3 linked regions of the Arabidopsis thaliana genome follow. The protein of the gene in region 1 interacts with the protein of each later gene in a pairwise test. Each region holds a gene or a part of one and is shown in the gene's direction. Other genes may lie near its edges. The genes, in order: bZIP23, TPR2 and WSIP2.

What was found.
Region 2: the proteins of bZIP23 (region 1) and TPR2 interact in a two-hybrid assay, tested with the Arabidopsis thaliana proteins (one study listed by BioGRID).
Region 3: the proteins of bZIP23 (region 1) and WSIP2 interact in a two-hybrid assay, tested with the Arabidopsis thaliana proteins (one study listed by BioGRID).

What each region holds. Positions count from the first base shown.
Region 1 is NC_003071.7:7,277,352-7,281,106, forward strand, and holds the start of bZIP23 (Basic-leucine zipper (bZIP) transcription factor family protein), read left to right. Parts: upstream 1-2,079; 5' UTR 2,080-2,316; intron 2,317-2,410; 5' UTR 2,411-2,507; coding exon 2,508-3,228; intron 3,229-3,437; coding exon 3,438-3,466; 3' UTR 3,467-3,596; exon of another isoform or gene 3,597-3,755. UniProt on the Arabidopsis thaliana protein: Transcription factor involved in the response to zinc ion deficiency. Binds to the consensus sequence 5'-[AG]TGTCGACA[CT]-3' also called zinc deficiency response element (ZDRE).
Region 2 is NC_003074.8:5,729,577-5,733,331, forward strand, and holds the start of TPR2 (TOPLESS-related 2), read left to right. Parts: upstream 1-1,942; 5' UTR 1,943-2,132; coding exon 2,133-2,212; intron 2,213-2,297; coding exon 2,298-2,477; intron 2,478-2,556; coding exon 2,557-2,670; intron 2,671-2,758; coding exon 2,759-2,917; intron 2,918-3,000; coding exon 3,001-3,178; intron 3,179-3,267; coding exon 3,268-3,400; intron 3,401-3,536; coding exon 3,537-3,652; intron 3,653-3,755. UniProt on the Arabidopsis thaliana protein: Transcriptional corepressor. Negative regulator of jasmonate responses.
Region 3 is NC_003074.8:5,370,164-5,373,918, reverse strand, and holds the start of WSIP2 (WUS-interacting protein 2), read left to right. Parts: upstream 1-1,629; 5' UTR 1,630-1,754; exon of another isoform or gene 1,755-1,986; 5' UTR 1,987-2,049; coding exon 2,050-2,129; intron 2,130-2,299; coding exon 2,300-2,479; intron 2,480-2,568; coding exon 2,569-2,682; intron 2,683-2,793; coding exon 2,794-2,952; intron 2,953-3,036; coding exon 3,037-3,214; intron 3,215-3,299; coding exon 3,300-3,420; intron 3,421-3,755. UniProt on the Arabidopsis thaliana protein: Transcription corepressor of Zinc finger transcription factors GAF1/IDD2 and ENY/IDD1 in regulation of gibberellin homeostasis and signaling.

The sequences.
Region 1 (3,755 bases):
CAACGCCCGACACACACACACAAAAAAAAAACTCATTAATCTTACTATAGTTTTTTGTATATGAAATCAAATCTTCAAATTAATGATTGTGTCCGGCACGTTATTCTTAAAATCAATAGTTGCACTTAACAATCAAATTATATCGCTAGTTCATACTTCCGCATGTTTTTTGTTTAGTTAAATATGGAATACACACTTGTTTTTCTTATAACAAATATCGTGGAACTTTTGGAGCGGATTTGGGATGACGTCTTAGATTATATAGAAAATAGAAGTAGATTTTGACTGAATATCATCAATGAAAGGAACAAAGAAAAATATTTAGGTTGATTTGATAGCTAATTAAACTAGATGTAGACTGATTTATATAACAATATTACAAAACAATGATCAACAATAAATAAATGTCTTTCTAAAAAAGTTTATGAATACCAACTAAACTGGTGGAACAAACCATTATTGTGATGTTGTAAATTTGTAATTGACTTTTTCGATAAATTAATCGAAATTGACTAGACCGGTGAAAGCTAAACCGGTTCCATCTAATTAAAATGAGAAAAAAAAGTAGTGGTAGTAACTTCGTCTCGAACCATGCGCGGGATTAAAGAGAGCGAATTATACGACCACTATGGCAAGACGCATTTAATTGAATAAATAATACTAGATTTGCGCAAAATAGTTGTTATACATTTTGAACAAAATATATAATATAAAAACCAAATAATATTTAGATCCGTGATGTACAGGTTGAATCTATAGAATTTTTTTAGAGGAAGTAAAAAAGAATCAAAATCTAAAGTTAAAATTAATACCTTAAATTTTTTGAAACCTTAGAGAGAGTCTTCTTCCCGTAAAAATATATATTTTACTTTATACTGAAAAAGTATAATATTTTCTATGATTTTTTGGCAAAAAAACAAAGAAATTGTATCACGGAATCTGCAAAACAAACATATTGTTTAAAAAATATTTCTAAAATAGTTATTTAATTGATCGTAATTAATATGTCCCCTCATGTCTTATCCGTTGATTTATTTTTAGTGACAATCCACAAAAATCGGCCATAATCTCTACTTGATAGTTTTTTCTTTCTATTTTGATATTGAAAGGTTAGTCCTATGTTTGACTAATATTGAGGAATCTTCTTTGTTGATGTATTTTGTGCAAATTTTGAGGAACCAAAGAGAATTTCAATTCCAATTTTGGGTGGATTCGAGCTATTTTATTGATTTATTTTTGGTTATATCTCGAAGGATGTTCTGACAATCAATAGATAATTTGAAGGCCAACACTGTTTTTGCATAAATATAGGATTCTTCATCTCAAAAATTAAAAAGATACATAAATAATCGGAACTCACCATATAATTGATCTGTTTTGGTTCTCGTCCTAGTTCTTCTTGTACTTCTCTTTCCAATTTCTTCTCTCCTTTCTTCTTTCCCATTTCTTCTCTTCTTTCTTCTTTCCCATGACTATGATTAGATTTTTTTTGGCCCTTTTTACCAGCAAGATGTTATCTTGTCCATGGAATTTTTAAAACTAGTTCAATTTTGATTAATTATTTTAAATTGACCCCATTATAAAGTAGAAATTAATCCTTGTAAAATTTAGTTTAAGAGCAAACAATTAGATATTATATAACTTTTTAGGCCAATTTAAATCAAAACAAATAAATATAAAATAAAAACATGTCTATTGAAATGATTTCAACCTCATAATTTTGTCCTCTTGTTAGTCTATCATTTTTTTATCATCCTTTTTTTTTTCATTCACCATTTTTCATTGAAAATTAAGTTAAAAATAAAGTTATAGGTTAAAAAATTAATATACATTTTAATTTTAAATACAATGTTTTGATGATTTTATCTAACTGATTATATAAAAAAAATATTCAGCGTCTTCAAAAAAAAAAAGAAAAAAAAATTATTCAGTTAGAATATTGATTCAAAGAAATTTTTCAATGGGTATAAAAAATAGCAACGCAAATTACTTTGGTTGAAAAAAACTAAATTTAAAAATATAATTCGAGTTATAAATTGAGCTATAAACTCAAATAAAAGTTTTAATACGAAATTAAACAATAGAATCTTCTGCAATTCGAAATTCCTTTTGGTACGTCCATGTCTTCTTTCCGCCATGGAAATAATGCCATCTGTTAATCATCAATGTTCATTGCACCTCTTCATCTCTAGGGTTCCCATTTCTAATTCTCTCTTAAACCCTTCTCGCCGTTTTCGCCCATAAGTTTCTCAATTCCCAAATTCGCAATCGTAATGGCGATTCTCCTCAAGCTTTCGTCTTGCTGATCCTTTAAAGGTACGATTTTTCTATTCAATTTAGTATCAGCCAATGATTAGTTATTGATAATTGGTTCTGAATCGCTTGGATTGTGTTTTCACTCTGCAATTAGGTTGTTGTTTGGTTTTTGATCACAAAGTCTCATACTTTTTGGTTAAGATTCAATCAAAAGAGTCAAAGGTTACTTCTTTGTTACTGGGTTTTGAGTAATGGACGACGGTGAGCTTGAGTTTTCGAATTCAAACATGGGTGGTGAATTACCTAGCTGTTCGATGGATTCGTTCTTCGATGAGCTTTTGAGAGATTCTCATGCTTGTACTCATACTCACACTTGTAATCCTCCGGGACCAGAGAACACACATACTCACACATGTCTCCATGTGCACACCAAGATTCTTCCTGACAAAGTTTCTACTGATGATACATCGGAATCTTCAGGGAAGAAGAGACCTTTAGGGAATAGAGAAGCGGTTAGAAAGTATAGGGAGAAGAAGAAGGCTAAAGCGGCTTCGTTGGAGGATGAGGTTATGAGGCTTAAGGCGGTTAATAATCAGCTGTTGAAGAGGTTGCAAGGTCAAGCTGCATTGGAAGCTGAGGTTACTAGGCTCAAGTGTTTGCTTGTTGATATAAGAGGAAGAATTGATGGAGAGATTGGTGCGTTTCCTTATCAGAAACCTGCGGTTACAAACGTGCCTTACTCATACATGATGCATCCTTGCAATATGCAATGTGATGTTGATAACTTGTACTGCCTTCAAAATGGGAATAATGGAGAAGGTGCATCGATGAATGAGCAAGGGCTAAATGGTTGTGAGTTTGATCAGCTAGAATGCTTGGCTAATCAGAATTTAGCTGGCAAGGAGATCCCTGTTTGTAGTAATGGAATTGGAACATTCACTGTCAATGGATCCGGCGTTAATAAGAGAAAAGGTGACATTCTAGTTCCTTTGGATCTCTTTCCTAGAGGCTGTCCTTAATAGCTATATCTTTATACAGTTTTCATCGTAGTTACTTCCATATTGTCACTGTACTTATCCTGGAATTGTGTCATTTCTGAGGTTCCCTTGAACGTTTTTTGTTTAAACTTGTGGTTTGTGTATATTTTGTTTATGAACTCAAGGTTTTTGATCTTGCAACAGGTGAGCCTCGAGCAGCGAAAGCAGTTTGAAGTATCATCAATCATGTGATACTATCAATCATTCACCCCATTTTCAAGTTGGTAGTTAATTTTCTTCCAATAAGTAGTAGAGTTCAACTGCATCACCAGCTTCCTTCAAGTCCATTTGTGCTATCATCAGGTTTTTAGTCTCTTTGCATTTCCTTGTTGAGCTCGTTGAAGCTAGAAATAAGACTTGTTAATATTCAAATCGAGTTTGCTATTTGGTTTTGTACTTTAGTAGCTTCTTTTTTTGTTGTGAAGTTCTTGTAGAAGAGATTGAATGTTGCATTTGGAAAAG
Region 2 (3,755 bases), on another chromosome or scaffold:
TTATTTTTTGAGGAATGGTAGAAGAAAATTTTTCCTTCCCAAATTTGATGAGGAACAAACAGGAAAAAAAATTAAATATTTATTAAATAAAAATTAAATTTATGTTCGTTTTATATTTAATATTTAATTTGAAAAATAATTTATTTATTTTTTAATTTTTGTTACTATTTATTCTATGTTTTGGTTATCATTTACAGTAACATTTGTTCTATTTTTCCTTTATATCCATTCCTTTTCATTCCTATTTTATCATTTTTTCTTTTCCTGTTTGTTCTTTTTTAGTCATGTTCTTCTTCATTCCTTGTATTCATTTATAGGTCACCAATCGGACCCGATATGTTGATTTAAAGAGAGTGGACATATCAATTCTGGTAGCTGGTAAAAAGCATCTATTTCCTTTGCTTTCAAGCTCATGTGTTACACAAACATGTTATAAAGTCATTTTTTTGTTTTTCATATGCAAAGAGAACAACAATTGTATCATGGACAATACAGAACTTCTTTATTTTCATCTAAATAGCAATGCTAAAGAGAGCTTCTAAGGAAAAAAGTGTCTAAGATGTATTCGGCTGTTTCAAAAAAATATTGGAAGAGCCAACGAGAGATTACATACTAAGTGAATAATAATGGTCTGACATACAAATTAATGATCAAACCATTATTATGTCAAGAGCGAGGCAACCATATTCGATTAATTAGTTCGCACTGCTCTAAGAGATGCTAACGGGACCCTAGAGAGCACTTCCTCTTCCAAATCTCGGGGAAGATCGGACATCGCCATTGTTGAATCTCTCATCTCCAAGTTAGGTCAAAGCTTCTACAACTCTTTTCGTACCTTCCGGCTATATATGTAACAGCAATTGAAGACACAACTCACTGGGCTAAACCTGGGCTTCAGTTATCAAGTCGGCCTCTTAATGTGGGACCAATACATTTTTTGTATTTGATCGTATAGCAAAAACAAATGATTAGCACCATGTGGAAACATTAGAGAGTTTGTGTAATTAAATTTCAAGTTTCTTTTCTGTCTTGTTATATACATAAAAATGGTTACAGTAACCTTGTTTTTTCTAGTTATCCTCATATGCTCCAAAAACATAGGAGAAAACATAATCATGAACTTTTTGACCAATAGTATTGTTAGGACTTGAATTCTCTTAGATTTGTTAATTGATGATGAATTCTCTTAGATGTTTATAACACTATGAAAATCATTACTTAAAAAAAAAAAAACTAAGATGATCCATCAGTCACACTTTAAATGTTTTTTAAAATATGTTCATATGTTTTGTTTATGGCATTGCGTACATAATTTAATTAGACTAATTATAATATCGATCAAACAAAGAATTATTGGCTGGATTTGGTCGCAGCCATTAGCAGTCGCTCTCAACTAATATTATTACGAGAATCTCTAGCTGAGCAAGTATCTCGTATTTCTCACGCTCTGACGAAAACTTCTACGAGATAGACGCAGATATCGAGACCACGTCATTCCCCCTAACAAGGCAACAACATGTGGCGGACGCCAGTAAAACTCTGCTCAATTCACTTCAATTCCATTTTTCGAATCCGCGTGACGTAACCCACCTAAGGGTTTATAATCCACTACTTTGCACCCCCACCTAAAAATGCATCACAAGCGCGACAAGTGTCAATACAATTCAGATACGGAGAATACTCTGAGATCCCACATCTGCTTTCGGTGGGCTCACCCGCATCAGATAAAAACCCTAAGCTAAGGGATCAGACCAAACAGTTTAACCAAACGAGGTTATCAACTTATACGACAACGAAAGCACTTATCAATGATAAGTTAGTTAACTTATCAAACTACAGTCTGTGTGACAAAACGCATCGAAGAAAGTGGAGAACAAGTCGTACTTTTTTCTTTATCTTTTTCCTTTTTTATTAAATGAAAAAATATAAATAGAAATTTTGTAGCATCTCTGGGGTCAGCTTTTTCTTAATGTTCGCTTTGCGACGCGAGGAAATGCAACCTTGAAACCCTAGAAAACTCATTCTCAACTACGACTAAATCGATTTCGCAAACTTTGACCTACCCTTCTTTCACGATAAACCCAGATCGCTTAAATTCCTTGAATTTCTTCTTCTGAGAGTTTTAGGAAAAAATGTCGTCTTTGAGCAGAGAGTTAGTTTTCTTAATTCTCCAGTTCTTAGATGAGGAGAAGTTCAAGGAATCTGTTCACAAGTAAGTTTGTGCTTTGTCGTTTTTGTGTGCTTGTTTGGTTTCTCTGCGTAATTTTGGGTATAATTTGGAATTGGTTGATGTGTAGGCTAGAGCAAGAATCTGGCTTCTTCTTTAACATTAAGTACTTTGAAGAGAAAGCTCTTGCTGGAGAGTGGGATGAAGTGGAGAAGTATCTTTCTGGTTTCACTAAAGTCGATGATAATCGTTACTCTATGAAAATCTTCTTTGAGATTAGGAAGCAAAAGTATCTCGAAGCTCTAGATCGGTAATGATTTCTCTTCTTGTTTGGTCGGATATTTAGACTAGTGTTGTTGATTTGATACATTTGTGTGTTTTTATTACAGAAATGACAGAGCAAAAGCTGTTGAGATATTAGCCAAAGACTTGAAAGTTTTCGCTACATTTAACGAGGAGCTTTACAAGGAGATTACTCAGCTGCTTACTCTGGAGAATTTTAGGTTTCTTTTTTTTTTTACTTTGCCATTGATATTATTGAAGTTTTGGTAGGTGGTTACGATAATGTTGAAGAGTGTGTTTTTTTCTTAGGGAAAATGAGCAACTGTCGAAATATGGTGATACTAAATCTGCAAGGTCTATAATGTATACTGAGTTGAAGAAATTGATTGAGGCGAATCCTCTGTTTCGAGAGAAGCTAGCCTTCCCCAGTTTCAAAGCTTCTCGCCTGCGAACTTTGATCAATCAAAGGTGAACTAGGAGGAGTCATAATTCTTTCCTTTTTTTATAGAGATTAGTTAAAGTGTATGACAAGTGTGTTTGGGACATTGCAGCTTAAACTGGCAGCATCAGCTATGTAAAAATCCAAGGCCTAATCCTGACATCAAGACATTGTTCTTGGATCACTCTTGCTCACCATCAAACGGTGCTCGTGCACTCACTCCTGTCAATCTTCCAGTTGCTGCTGTTGCAAGACCTTCAAACTTTGTTCCTCTTGGAGTGCATGGTGGAGTAGGATCACTTACTTAACTTCCACCCATTCTATTATATAACTTAATGTTCATATTTTGAGGGTTGATGAAACAACTGTATCTGTGCAGCCCTTTCAATCTAATCCTGCTCCGGCTCCTAATGCCAATGCTTTAGCTGGATGGATGGCAAACCCAAATCCTTCTTCATCAGTTCCATCTGGTGTTGTCGCTGCTTCCCCATTTCCTATGCAGCCAAGTCAAGGTATAATTTATGTCACAACTTACAAGTGTCTGGATATTATGGTATCTTTCGTTTTTTTTTCTTACTTGTGATATTAGAGTTTTTAGGAAATGAATTTTAAGACCTGAAGTTCTATTGCTGTATTTCGTCTCAACAGTTAATGAGCTGAAACACCCTCGGGCACCGTCTAACTCTCTAGGATTAATGGATTATCAAAGTGCTGATCACGAGCAACTCATGAAACGCTTACGGTCTGCACAAACATCCAACGAGGTAATTGCCTTCAGGTTTTCCTTGTTTTTGAAACGCTTAGTGCTTACCTAGCAAACAAAACTCTTGTTGCTTTTGGAATGTGCGCTTTGATGTTGAGTAGATG
Region 3 (3,755 bases), on another chromosome or scaffold:
ATTATACAGAAATAACATAATTATAAATAAGCTGGATTTTACCAATTATTTAATATAAAACGGAAAGGGTATGTTGTTGAAGATACTTGATGTTTTAAAATTTGAAGTTGTTGTAGTCATTGTTAAGGGTCGGCTGATGAGTCAGGACAACTCATTGAAACCATTTATTCGATGTTTCAAATATTAAACAAATAGACAGAAGATTCTACTATCTTCTTCAAAAATATAATATTAAACACAAGTCTTTGTTTCTTTGCTAGCTCTAGTTACAGAAATTTTGAATTAAAGCTATGAAAATAACTTTACGTTTAGTAAATTGCTAAAATATTCAGAGCGATCAGAAAGGAATGTTTGCTCTCTCATCTTAAAATTATATATTTGAGGTGATGCTTCTTCACCAACATGGGCAGATGGGCTTATGGAACCATTTGCTGATTAATTGCAGTCATTGATAACTGTCTGGGTGTGTCATTGTCATCAAAGTGATTGTTCAAGGAAAACATGTTTGGGACGAAATTGATTCCCAATCATGTTTAGCAATTGGGCCAGTCAATTCCCCCGATAATCTAGACCTAAAAGCCCAAACCAATGTAAGCAATACTGGTGTAGGAATACTTGTAAGAAGATTTGATATGACTCCTACTAGAACCATAATGTGGATGGACTGTTGAAGTAGCATAGTAATTACTAGCCAAAACATCCATGGGAAAAAAAATAAAGTACAAATATAAATTTTGATTTTTTTTTTTTTTATAAATAGAACAAAACTAAACATGTGAATAGGCCATATCTCTTAAATTCCTAACAAATTAGCATAATATATTCACGGAAATGCGTTACAAACCGTATTATAGAATAAAACTCCACTTTTTACTGTGAATTACTATAACAAAAAAGAAAGAATACACATTTGTAAAATTCACTTATTTGTTACCACATAAGATTTATATTTTTCCAAAAGTAAATTATCCATAAAACCTTTAATTTGTTTTTTTGACAATAAAAGATGAAGAAAATAAAATTTAATTAATTTGCGTACTACATAACTGGAAATAAAAATATCACATCTGATTTACTGCTATTCTTCTCTAAATTAAAAACTTCAAAATCCATTACTTAAATAATTAATTCATAAAAAAAATATTTGCAATATTAATTGACGGTTAGTTGATGTCATAAAAATAATATAATGGCACTAAATTCTATACAGAAACAGAAATAAACCAATTATGAGATACTCTACTTTAATGTATAGTTTGAAAAACAAAAAAAAATCCCCAGCTACGTTCAAAACCTAACGAGAGAGCATTAAATTAGACAGCAGTGTTGTACTAGATTCGCAACAACATCAATACGTCACTTAAATTAAAATAAAATACGAAAACATTAAATTAAAATAAATTTTAGAAAAAGTAATTAAAACGAAGGTTACTTATTATAGTGGGGAGATTAAGCTTTTTGAGTAAATTCCTATCTACAAAATACACGCTTCTATTAAAAAAAATAGAAGCCCAACGACCACACAAAAACAAATTAATTAAATCATAAAAACTCATAAATTAAAATAAAAAGCAATAAATCCAAAAAAAAAAAAAGGAAACTCCGAAAACGAGACAGCATCAGAAATTATCGCCATAAATAGCCCCCACGTCTCTCTCTCTCTCTTCTCCAAAGTCTTCTTCTTCTTCTTCTTCTTCTTCCTCTTCTTCCTCTCTGCTTTGTCTCTCTCCTTCTTCAAAGTCAAAATTCAACAGGTATTTATATTTATAAACTTTCCTTTTTTTCTTTAATCTCTTTCTCGGGAGCCTCTCTCGTATATTCTCGCACGTGCACATCTCGTGCCACCTGGGTTTGGGGGGATTCGTCTTTCGAATTCGATCGATTTCGTTTTTTTTTTTAGATCTGTCTTTCCTTTTTTGGGGTGTGAAGAAGATGTTTTCTTTTATAAAACCCTAATTCTCTCTTTGTGTCTTTGTGTTTGATTAGTGGTTCATGAGTGGTATTGTGATCGATCTGTTACTTTCGGAGAGCGAGCAATAAGAAGAGGATATGTCGTCACTCAGCAGAGAACTCGTGTTTTTAATACTTCAGTTTCTCGATGAAGAGAAATTCAAAGATACTGTTCACAGGTAATTTATATTATATCATTGTTTAATTGCGGTCCCTCTTCCTTTGATTGTCGGGATTAGAGTAAAGTAGGGATTAAGATTAATTAATTTTGATTTTGTAATTTAGCATTATTTCTTCAATGTTAATCCAGAAGCAGTTACAACTTTGGATATTTTTTTTGACTAATTAGGTTGGAGAAAGAGTCTGGTTTTTTCTTCAACATGAGGTACTTTGAAGATAGTGTAACAGCTGGTGAATGGGATGATGTAGAGAAGTATCTTTCTGGATTCACTAAAGTTGATGATAATAGATACTCTATGAAAATATTTTTCGAGATTCGGAAGCAGAAGTACCTTGAAGCACTTGACAAGTAAAGTTTCACTTGTGTTGTTTAGTTTTATTGAATTGAAGTGTGGTTTTGAGTATTGATTTGTTTTCCCATCTTTTGTTTTACCATAGGAAAGATCATGCCAAGGCGGTTGATATTCTTGTTAAGGAGTTGAAAGTGTTCTCGACATTCAACGAAGAGCTTTTTAAGGAGATTACCATGCTTTTAACCTTGACTAACTTCAGGTACATTCTTTACTTTCTTAGCACTTTTTTTTTATGGTTTCATTGACCACTGGATTGTTATAAACCATGCGCTTGTGGTGTTGATGTTTCATTTACTTGCAATAATTCAAGGGAAAATGAGCAGCTTTCCAAGTATGGAGATACTAAGTCCGCAAGAGGTATCATGCTTGGGGAACTTAAAAAACTGATTGAAGCAAATCCTCTCTTCCGAGACAAACTTCAATTTCCCAGTTTGAAGAATTCTAGATTGAGAACCTTAATAAATCAAAGGTACAAGCTTTGTTTTTTTAACTTTTGCTCCCGTTTTTCTTTTGGTGGAACAACTAACTGAACGTTGCTTCTGCTGAATCATAGTTTGAACTGGCAACATCAGCTTTGCAAGAATCCTAGGCCTAACCCGGATATAAAAACACTATTTGTTGACCATACGTGTGGGCATCCCAATGGTGCACACACTCCTTCCCCTACAACTAATCATTTAATGGGTTCAGTCCCTAAAGTTGGAGGCTTCCCACCATTAGGTGCTCACGGTGTAAGTTGCTCTAAGATTACAGCTTCTGTTGGATTAGTTTTTAGCACATGAATTTAACTTTGCTAGTTTGTATGCTCTTGTTCAGCCATTTCAGCCAACACCAGCTCCTCTTACAACATCTCTTGCAGGATGGATGCCTAATCCATCGGTACAACACCCTACTGTTTCCGCTGGGCCTATCGGCTTAGGTGCCCCCAACAGTGCTGGTAATGTTGTCCCTACTAATTTTATTCTTCTGAAATATGTGTGTTGGAGATTTAGTTTACCAAATATTAGCTTATACGGTTATGTAATTTGCCATCCCTTGTTTAGATCATCATTAGTTGGATGGTTATCTGTGCTTCTTTGACTGACTGAACTGCATGAAATGATATAAATATATTTACTGAGTTACATTTTCCAGAGCTGTAGTGGTAAACTGTCTCTCTTTTCTTTTACGGACTAAAGCAGTTTTTAGTGGTAAACTGTCTCTATGGTGGATTAGAGAGAGAGAGAGAACTATATGCTCATATCAGCCGTTTTGTTTAATTTCACAATACTC